Linked DNA regions of Schizosaccharomyces pombe. The protein of the gene in region 2 binds, or shares a complex with, the protein of the main gene of each other region. Each region holds a gene or a part of one and is shown on either strand. Other genes may lie near its edges. A codon is read from its position in the direction of its gene.

The links.
Region 1: the proteins of qcr2 (region 2) and qcr1 are in contact, whole or in part, in a cryo-EM structure (PDB 8Q1B), measured with the Schizosaccharomyces pombe proteins. Residues at the interface, in NP_587698.1 of Schizosaccharomyces pombe: Glu37 (codon at 2,074), Thr38 (codon at 2,071), Pro39 (codon at 2,068), Thr40 (codon at 2,065), Thr42 (codon at 2,059), Lys71 (codon at 1,972), Ala78 (codon at 1,951), Leu79 (codon at 1,948), Thr82 (codon at 1,939), Arg83 (codon at 1,936), Glu86 (codon at 1,927), Leu87 (codon at 1,924), Gly89 (codon at 1,918), Gln91 (codon at 1,912), Arg106 (codon at 1,867), Phe107 (codon at 1,864), Leu108 (codon at 1,861), Glu110 (codon at 1,855), Glu136 (codon at 1,777), Thr140 (codon at 1,765), Ile143 (codon at 1,756), Pro206 (codon at 1,567), Asp207 (codon at 1,564), Ala275 (codon at 1,360), Val276 (codon at 1,357), Lys277 (codon at 1,354), Trp278 (codon at 1,351), Ser279 (codon at 1,348), Gly281 (codon at 1,342), Asn282 (codon at 1,339); in NP_595827.1 of Schizosaccharomyces pombe: Ala15 (codon at 2,056), Thr16 (codon at 2,059), Thr17 (codon at 2,062), Ala18 (codon at 2,065), Leu19 (codon at 2,068), Pro20 (codon at 2,071), His38 (codon at 2,125), Gln42 (codon at 2,137), Thr43 (codon at 2,140), Glu69 (codon at 2,218), His70 (codon at 2,221), Phe73 (codon at 2,230), Lys74 (codon at 2,233), Lys82 (codon at 2,257), Glu85 (codon at 2,266), Leu86 (codon at 2,269), Phe88 (codon at 2,275), Glu89 (codon at 2,278), Asn90 (codon at 2,281), Thr91 (codon at 2,284), Gly92 (codon at 2,287), Ala93 (codon at 2,290), His94 (codon at 2,293), Leu95 (codon at 2,296), Asn96 (codon at 2,299), Ala97 (codon at 2,302), His109 (codon at 2,338), Ala110 (codon at 2,341), Phe111 (codon at 2,344), Glu146 (codon at 2,449).

What each region holds. Positions count from the first base shown.
Region 1 is NC_003423.3:2,032,036-2,036,856, reverse strand, and holds qcr1 (MPP complex beta subunit Qcr1), read left to right. Parts: upstream 1-1,957; 5' UTR 1,958-2,013; coding exon 2,014-3,387; 3' UTR 3,388-4,015; downstream 4,016-4,821. Other genes in the region: TIM22 inner membrane protein import complex and succinate dehydrogenase (SDH) anchor subunit Tim18, read right to left, coding at 278-757. UniProt on the Schizosaccharomyces pombe protein: Catalytic subunit of the essential mitochondrial processing protease (MPP), which cleaves the mitochondrial sequence off newly imported precursors proteins. Preferentially, cleaves after an arginine at position P2.
Region 2 is NC_003421.2:94,619-98,902, reverse strand, and holds qcr2 (ubiquinol-cytochrome-c reductase complex core protein Qcr2), read right to left. Parts: upstream 2,277-4,284; 5' UTR 2,183-2,276; coding exon 902-2,182; 3' UTR 693-901; downstream 1-692. Other genes in the region: protein meu23, read left to right, coding at 1-182; tRNA-splicing endonuclease subunit Sen54, read right to left, coding at 2,872-3,787, 3,857-3,994, 4,072-4,172. UniProt on the Schizosaccharomyces pombe protein: Component of the ubiquinol-cytochrome c oxidoreductase, a multisubunit transmembrane complex that is part of the mitochondrial electron transport chain which drives oxidative phosphorylation.

The DNA.
Region 1 (4,821 bases), on a different chromosome or scaffold from region 2:
CCACTAGAAAAATTATCGTTGAAGGTAAACATAAACATACTGTGCAAGCGCTAAACAGATTTACACAGATAAATTGAGAGGATCAATCAAGCCAGAAATCAAGAAAAGAGCAAAGATCAACTGCAGAATATCAATTGGCAGTTTTGGGGTTTGAACTGGTAAGTTTCAAGCCCAAAACTTACTAGATGACGGATTAAGGAGAATAAAAAAGAAAAAGGAAAGGAATAATCATTATGAAAAAATAAGTGGGGTTATATGGGTTTGCATGGAAAGAAGCTTAAGATTTCCAAAGCTTTTTAATACCCTCCGTAAGGCCAATATCATTCGTGTTGAACTCATAGACGCCAATAAGTGTAAGAACAGTACATCCACGTAAGATCCAGTGCATCAAAGGAGATAACTTCTTAAATCTTCTTGCAGGGAAGTAGTCAATCACACAAGATTCAAACCCCAAGTGGGCATGCGTAATCAAGGTGCAAGCCAATGCAGCGTCCATTAAGGGATGAGAAGTTCCGGTGAACAAAGGGATCATGACTTGAGGAACCATGGCAATAGCAATAATTCTTTCAAAGTCCCAATGATAGCTTCCGTGGAGCTTACTGTGGTGAGGGAAAACAGCAGCATCATTAACAGTTCCCTTAATGGTCTGAGGGGGAGGAGGGAAAATTTTCGCAACACTGGTTGTGCTAAAAGATTTAACTGCAAAAAGAAGACGTCCTTGACGAAGTGCTCCAAGTCCTAAACGTGTTTGTAACATATTGTTTGTAAACCAAGAAAAGCTGGTGGTGGTAGTAGGTGAGTTCGTATTGGCGGATCTTGTGTCCACATTATTGGCCATTCAACAGCTCGATGTGTTGAGCTTGGAGTGGCCGGAAATAGGCGATGAGAACCTAAATCTATCTACTCATAAACGAAAAATTGTATAACATAGAGTAAAGACTAGAAATTTAAATAGATATAATAGATTAATAAGTTTATTCAGAAGAATCTCCGGTCTTTAAGGTCGTTTCAAAACCTGGTTATTACTTTTTATAATAATATTATTCACTGCTGAAAACGAATTACCTTCTACATATAATATTACATGGGTTTTGTGGTGAGTTTGAATATCTATTATAATATTACACAGTACCAAAAGTTACTGCAGTTTCAAAAAAAATTTTACGGAAAGCACTACATTGTGAAAAAACAATAATCTACTGTAAATCTTTTTACTTAATAATATAATATAGATAAAGCTATAGAAATTTACTTGTAGCAATTATGCTAATATAAAGGTGCTGCATTGGCTTAAAAAAAGGTTAGAGAAACGGTTTTAAGAGGATGAAAATTTTATTTAAATTAATATCATTTATATAAAAAACTATTCTCATAAAAAGAAACCATCAAGCTACTCAATAGTCGATGTATAACAATGCTTGATTCGGTGCTAGTCAAAATTCTATAGTTGGACTGTTATTTTTTTAAAAATGTATTAACCGAAATATTGTAATGGAAATCATGGAAAAGAGAATTTCGTTAAGTATAAATAACCTTTTAATGTAGATGAATACGAACTTAACCTGATGAAGTGTCTTACCCTGTCTGATTCAATGTCATATAGATTCTTTTCAATATACCGATGAAACAATATATCCCCTACATAGTTTTTTACCAATGAGATTCTCCATGTTAAGTAGAGATATATTATATCATGAACTGGATTGTACGGTCATTCGTTTCCTTCCTTTATAGCAAATTGCGCACAGGGCAAAGACTAGGCAATCCGAAAGTTTCTGTTTGAATGGTCAACTTCTTATTTTTCTCTACATGGAAATTCTAGTAAGGGATTCAAGGATTGCTAGTTTTCTTTTTTTATTAAATGGGATCAATTGGTCATTTGCCGAAATTCGAACTTGGGACCTCGATAACACGTATTACGCTACACCTCTACGGAATACCTTCTTGCTACCTACTTACCCTTTACCATCCACAGAATCCCACCCAACCAAAGGAGCTTGAATTGATATTACTATGCTGAGGCTTCAGAATTTGCCAAAGCTAGTACGTCGTTTTGCGACTACTGCTTTACCAAAAACAGAAACCACTACTTTAAAAAATGGGCTTACAGTTGCTACGGAACATCATCCGTATGCCCAAACAGCGACCGTCCTTGTGGGCGTTGATGCTGGCTCAAGAGCTGAGACGGCAAAAAATAATGGCGCTGCTCACTTTTTGGAACATTTGGCGTTCAAAGGAACGAAAAATCGCTCCCAAAAAGCATTGGAATTGGAATTTGAAAATACTGGTGCACATTTGAACGCATACACCTCTCGTGAACAAACCGTTTATTATGCACATGCGTTCAAAAACGCTGTACCTAATGCAGTTGCCGTTTTGGCCGATATCCTGACAAATTCAAGCATTTCTGCCTCGGCGGTTGAGCGTGAACGCCAAGTCATCTTAAGAGAGCAAGAAGAGGTTGACAAAATGGCCGATGAAGTAGTCTTTGATCATTTACATGCTACCGCTTATCAGGGTCATCCTCTTGGACGTACAATTTTGGGTCCTAAGGAAAACATCGAATCTCTTACCCGTGAGGACCTTCTCCAGTATATTAAGGACAACTACCGTAGTGATAGAATGATTATCTCTTCTGCCGGTTCGATATCTCATGAGGAGCTTGTAAAGCTCGCCGAAAAATATTTTGGCCATTTGGAGCCTTCAGCTGAGCAATTGTCGCTTGGTGCTCCTCGTGGACTCAAACCTCGTTTCGTCGGGTCTGAAATCCGTGCTCGTGACGATGATTCACCAACTGCCAACATTGCCATTGCTGTTGAAGGTATGAGTTGGAAACACCCAGATTACTTTACTGCATTAGTCATGCAAGCCATCATTGGTAACTGGGACCGTGCTATGGGAGCATCTCCCCATTTGTCTTCTCGTCTTAGTACTATTGTTCAACAACATCAACTTGCCAATAGCTTCATGAGTTTCAGTACTAGTTATAGTGATACTGGACTTTGGGGTATTTATCTTGTCACTGAGAACCTTGGCCGTATTGATGATCTCGTCCACTTTACCCTCCAAAACTGGGCTCGTTTAACCGTTGCAACTCGTGCTGAGGTTGAACGTGCCAAGGCACAACTCCGTGCTTCGCTTTTACTTTCTTTGGATTCAACGACCGCCATTGCAGAGGACATTGGTCGCCAATTGCTTACAACTGGTCGTCGTATGAGCCCTCAAGAGGTTGATCTCCGTATCGGTCAAATCACTGAAAAAGATGTAGCCCGCGTTGCTTCCGAGATGATTTGGGACAAGGACATTGCTGTTTCTGCTGTTGGTTCCATTGAGGGTTTGTTGGACTACAACCGTATTCGTAGCAGTATTTCTATGAACCGTTGGTAAACGCATTTTCTTGGGACTTTTGACTATTGTCTATTATTTAATCTTAAGGCTCATCCTTTGCTATTGTTTGTTAACGCCTTTATGATTTCGTCTGCCTCTTCGCTCTCTTCAGATATATGAGCTGAATTCACCAATATACGTTGTTTACGTGTTGATCAGTACTATCACCGGTTGGATATGAAGCTGTTTGCACACAAGTAATATCATTTCAGTAGATGAGAGCATACCAGAGTTGTTTATAGTGCAAAGTCGGTTGCTTACTGCATCACCTTTGAAAACCCCCTTTCTTCAGAGTTAAACTTTTCTCTCATTTATTATCTGTCAAGGTGTATTGCTCGGACACTTCTTATACTGCCTTTGCATTCATTTTTGCTTGCAATTTATCCTCCCGTGATATTCCTTGTCATCTTATTTTTCTATCTCCCTTCTCATTTAGCAGTCTCTTGAAAATCTCTTTTACTTTCTTGCTTTCTTTCTAGCAACTATTCACTTTATCGCTGATTTAGCGGAAACCGCTTACTAACCTACCCATGTTTACAAATGAAACGGATTCGTTCGTGTTGTAAAATTTATCGACATAACTTTGAATGTTACAGAGTTAATCTGAATTCATTCTTCCTTTTTTGTACCTTTTTTCTTGGGCGCTTGCTCGTAATTAGCAACTTGCGTTAAAATTCATGTAGTAGTAAGTCGACTTGATAATGTAGTTATGTAGTTTTATTTTATAAAAATAGATTTTTGCGAATAATCGTCGAGCATTCCGTTCAATTCATTCAATCACTGCGAGGGTTTATCGGGTTAATCTTCTGTAAGGAATATCGGCTTTTATGGAGTTAAAAATTGGTATGAACATTTTCCATTTGCATAAGCGAAAAAAACACGAATGTTTGTTTATTGAAATCGTTCGCACGATAGTGGAAACCAAAACATATATGGCAAAAAGCCTACAGCACCCCGGATTCCCATGTTGTCTCCAACCATAGTACTAACGAGGCCCTCAGACGCTTAACTGCAGTGATCGGACGGGAACTGGTGTTTTCGCCTAGGTATGGCCGTAGACGTTTGTCAAAAAATTTAACAAGATATATAGTGTAAGAAAAGATAAGAGGTATTTTAAATTTTGTTAAAAGCTTCAACATGATTTTTGAAAGAATTTTCAATGAGCACAATAATAAAATAACTGGTAGTACTCGTTTAACTGTGTATATACAAAATATATTTACACAAAAATATATCCGGTCAGGGAGGGACTCGAACCCTCGACCTCACGATTAACAGTCGTGCGCAATAACCAACTATGCTACCCGACCTTGGATGTCTGTAGATATATTTTAAACATATATATCTTCTATGCTTTAAACCTAGTCATTACTTTTGTCTTAATACCAGTTATTCTGAATCATCAAGTATTTCGGAACTTTAGTTATACTATAT
Region 2 (4,284 bases):
CAATTACTTCAGTTCAAGATGTAGATCGGTTGTCTAGGAGTCAATGTTCTCGATATTTACAGGGCTATGGGGTAACTTTTCATGTAAACGAAACTATTGGGATGAAGAAGAAACTTGCTAGCGCGGTCGGCCTATCGGCAGAGTATGACAGAGAGTATCCTTTTTCTGGATTTCCTAATTAGCGATTCTGGCAGAAAAGTACTCGACGAAAATTAATCGCTTATATTTTTTTACTATTTATTCACGTGTATTATTATATTGGAAATGTATATAATTATTGGGAGTGAAACGTTCAAGAGTTCAACCCAGCTACTTATAACTCTTGTTTACCTGATGTTGAATAATCTTGAATCTTTGTGATTGTTGAATTAAAAAGCATACCGAAAGCAAAGCATTCAAATTAGGTGATTTGTGAGGTAAAATTTTTAAGATAAGATGCCATGGGCTTGCATATTTAATTTTTAAAAAATGATGTTTGCATAAAGACGATAACATACTGTCTTCGAAAATCCGTTTTATGAGAAATCTGAAGTTAATATAAGTTAACCGCTCTTGATGGCGATAGTTATCATTATTGTTTATGAAATCTCAAGAGAGAAACTATTATTTTAATGTTGCATTGCATATATAAATATATATTTTTTAATTTCTTTACAAATTAGTACATCGTCATCATACATAATAATACTACCAAATTATTTATTGGTATTAATTCATTGGAAAATAACATTAATCATTGTTGCCTAAAGGAGAGCATAAGACGATCCGTCAGGACTGTGAATTTGAGTAATGAAGTATGTTACGAAAAAAAATAATTCAAAACATCATCCTAAGCTTATGGTGTATAAAAAGTTTTCAAAGAAAGATTTTCGATAAAAAAAAAGATTTGTAGAGAAGTATCCTAAAGCTCATCGTAGTAAGGGAGCACGTCAAGGTTACCCACAGCAACTGTACTAGCAGGTTTGGCTAATAAAGATGAAACCACCTTAGAGATGGATGCGGGGGTAACCTTGTCGAAACCACTAATAAAGGCATCAGATCCTTTTGAAGCAGAAACTAAAGATGAAGCAGATATGGCGTTCAAAGTAACAGGTTCAAAAGCAGACAAGTACTTAGTCTTAGCCATTGCAATGCCACTTTTAACAACATCATTGGGGATATTAGAAGATAATGATTTAAGGGCCTTGAAAGATTCAGAGGCAGTAGCTTTAATAGCTTTTGGACAACTGCCAGAAATAACGACCGATAGCAAACTGGCATCCGAATAAGGAGTGAGATCAGCAACAGCTGTGGCTTTGTATTCAGAAGCAGTTCCAGCAGCCTTAGCAAGGAGAGTGTTTCCATGAGACCATTTCACGGCAGCATCTCCTCCAAGTATAGAAGACAACACAAAAAGCTCAGGAGAAGCAGCGGGAGCTGGAAATCCTAAACAGAAATAATTGGTTCCTTTGGAATAAACACGTGATTCCCCAGAAGAAATCTTTGTGGGTGCTGACTTCAAAGGACTGCCATCGGGAATTACGGCAAAATACTTAGCACACAGGTCAGAAGCCTTCTGAACGTCGGGACCAGAGGAAATAACGGAAAAGTTAGACTTAACATAAGCCTTTGAAGCAAAATCTTTTATTTCAGAGATAGAAGGGCTGGCAGAAGCAGGAAGGTAAACTTCGTTTCCAATGCCACGGTGGAAAGCCTTTTCGTGAAGCTTGGCCATGGCGACCCTAAGGATGTCTTCCCTAAACAGTTCAGACTCAATGCGAGCGGTCGGTAAAACTTCTTCTGTTAACTGGAAAGGAAGGAATTTGGTGGCATCAACGACTTCAGCCAACAATCTGGCATAATATTCGAGATATTCATTCAAAAAACGAGCTGTTAATATGATGTGCTCACGAGTGATTTGAGTTGATAACTGTCCTCCTAAAAGTTCAGATTCTCGAGTAATCCGTAAAGCAGAACGCTCTTCCGTAGTTTTAAATGCAAACTTCTCCAAAAGGTGCGAAACACCAGCATCTGGTTGATAACGGCTTCCGGCGTTAATCACAACGGATAAAGAACCTGTCGCAGTAGGTGTCTCGCGCCCGGCAAACGAAACTCCTTCCACTTTTTTTGGTGTATAAGAGATTCCATGCAAATTTCGTCTCGGGGTCTGAAATCTTCTTAAATTTCTTGTAAACGACTTCATATTACCTATTTAGGACTTTTCGAAAAAGTTTTTAATCGGTGTTTACTAAATTACGCTGCTTGCAACAGAGGTGGGAGTTGGGAGTGGGTATCTTAGGGATCCGCCTAAATCGGCTGCAAGAGGATATGACAAAGTTTGAATTGGCCAGTTGCGTTATAATGGAGAAACTAGGATTTGCAGCGTTTAAGTTCTTCCAATTTAATGAATCAAAAAAAGAAATTTGATTTTTATTTCATTATGGTTTTGACTGCTTCAAATGCCAATGGTGCAGAATATGATCGTCTTAAAAAAAACCTACTGATGGCGGAAAAGAATTGCTTTATAGAACTTGTAGGCAAAAATATCAATCTGTAAAGACTATATGTGGATTTGTTTAAAAGCTAAGCCTTCAACTTTACTTGTAGTAATGTCTAGTAATGAATTAGGAATCGACATCAACTTATTAAAAAACAATAAATAACGTATTATAGACTAAGAAAAAATCCCCACTTAAGTTATGTCACTTATTGAGCTTTTATACTTCACTAAGAAACTGTTTTACGCTTCAACGATAATATTCCAATCCCAGAAATGGTTAGATTCAAAGACTAGTGAACCACGACCAAGACATCAAAGATTAGCTAATAGTAAATTCAAGATATGTCACCGAACTTTTTTTTCTCTCCTTTTTTCCGCGAGAACATATTATTTTAGACCAATTGTTGAAATTTTTTACTCACCCTTTTCCTTTTAGATCCCTTTTTAGAGAAGTCTGTATAAACTTTTTCTTCAAAACAAACATCCGATAGCCGAATGTAGCTTATAACTCCATAATCTACAATTGCAATAATAATGTTTCTGTACCCTTCCTTTAGTCTTTGAAACATATGCTGTGGCATGTTTTGTCGAAGAGGAGTACTTGAAAAAAGCGCATCAATCTCAAAAATAGTAGGTAATAATGTATCCTGAGAGCTAACCACACATATCCTAAAATCAGGCTCTGATAAGGCCGATTTTTTGAATGAAGCTGAAGGTTTGTATGCGTGAAATGTGATTTGAAATAATGAATCTGAAGATGTTATAAGATTACAAGCGATTGGAACATAACCGCGGACAATTTGCAAATCATGATACACTTCTTCGTATGTATAAAATGTATCATGTAAGAGGATAGACTGCCTCCTCCGCTTTGAAAATGGAAAAGCTAGTTTCCGAAAGTTAAATGTTTGTAATATTTGTGAAGCCTTTCCCAATCCTAAAAACAATAAATCCTTGAAATTCATAATTTTCGAATCGCATCGATATTCATCTTCTTTTACTGGAACTAGGTTTGAACGTATAACCGAAAAACCACATCTCCGTAAATGAGCATAAACAAGATAATTTTCTAAGCTACCACATAAAGGAATAGAGGCTGAGTAAACTGCTTGCAAACTCATTGGCAATCCTTCTTCTGACCAGCATTCCATCGATCCACGTTCAACAAGATACAAAGTCTCCTCTGGAAGTAACCACATGCGATTTTGAGAGTCAGCAGTACCCATGGTTTTAAACAAAGGTCCATGTGCCTTTTCAACACAAGACATCCCATTTTGGGCATTCCAAGTAGCTATTATTGCATGTTTGCTAAATGCCATCCACGTTAGCTTATGACATTTTTAACGTAACTGAAATTGCGGTCATTCTCAAACTTACGCCGATATTAATCTCTCCACTGAAAGGGCATCAAACATCGCCTTCCTGCTCAAGTCGAGAGCAGAATGTTGCTTATTGGTGCCATCTGGTTCAAAGTCTTTTTGTCCACGTTTTGGGATAGTGTATGTCCCTTGGTCTCTGTTATTTTAATGAAATTAGTACATTTCTAGAAAAATTATACAACGAGTAAGAGGCTGAATGGTCGAAATACTTACTTTTCGACATTTGATAAAAATCTCCAATCTTGAATTTCTTCTGTGACGTCTACAGTAGTTTCAAGATTCGTAAATGGATTATCTTCATCCTGTGCATCCATAGAAATACTATAATTCCAAAGAAGTGTCGTTAGAAGCGACTTTAAGAAGAAGACAGATATGCACTTTGTAAGTTGAAAATAATGGAGTTCTTCGAACTAGGTAATATGTCAA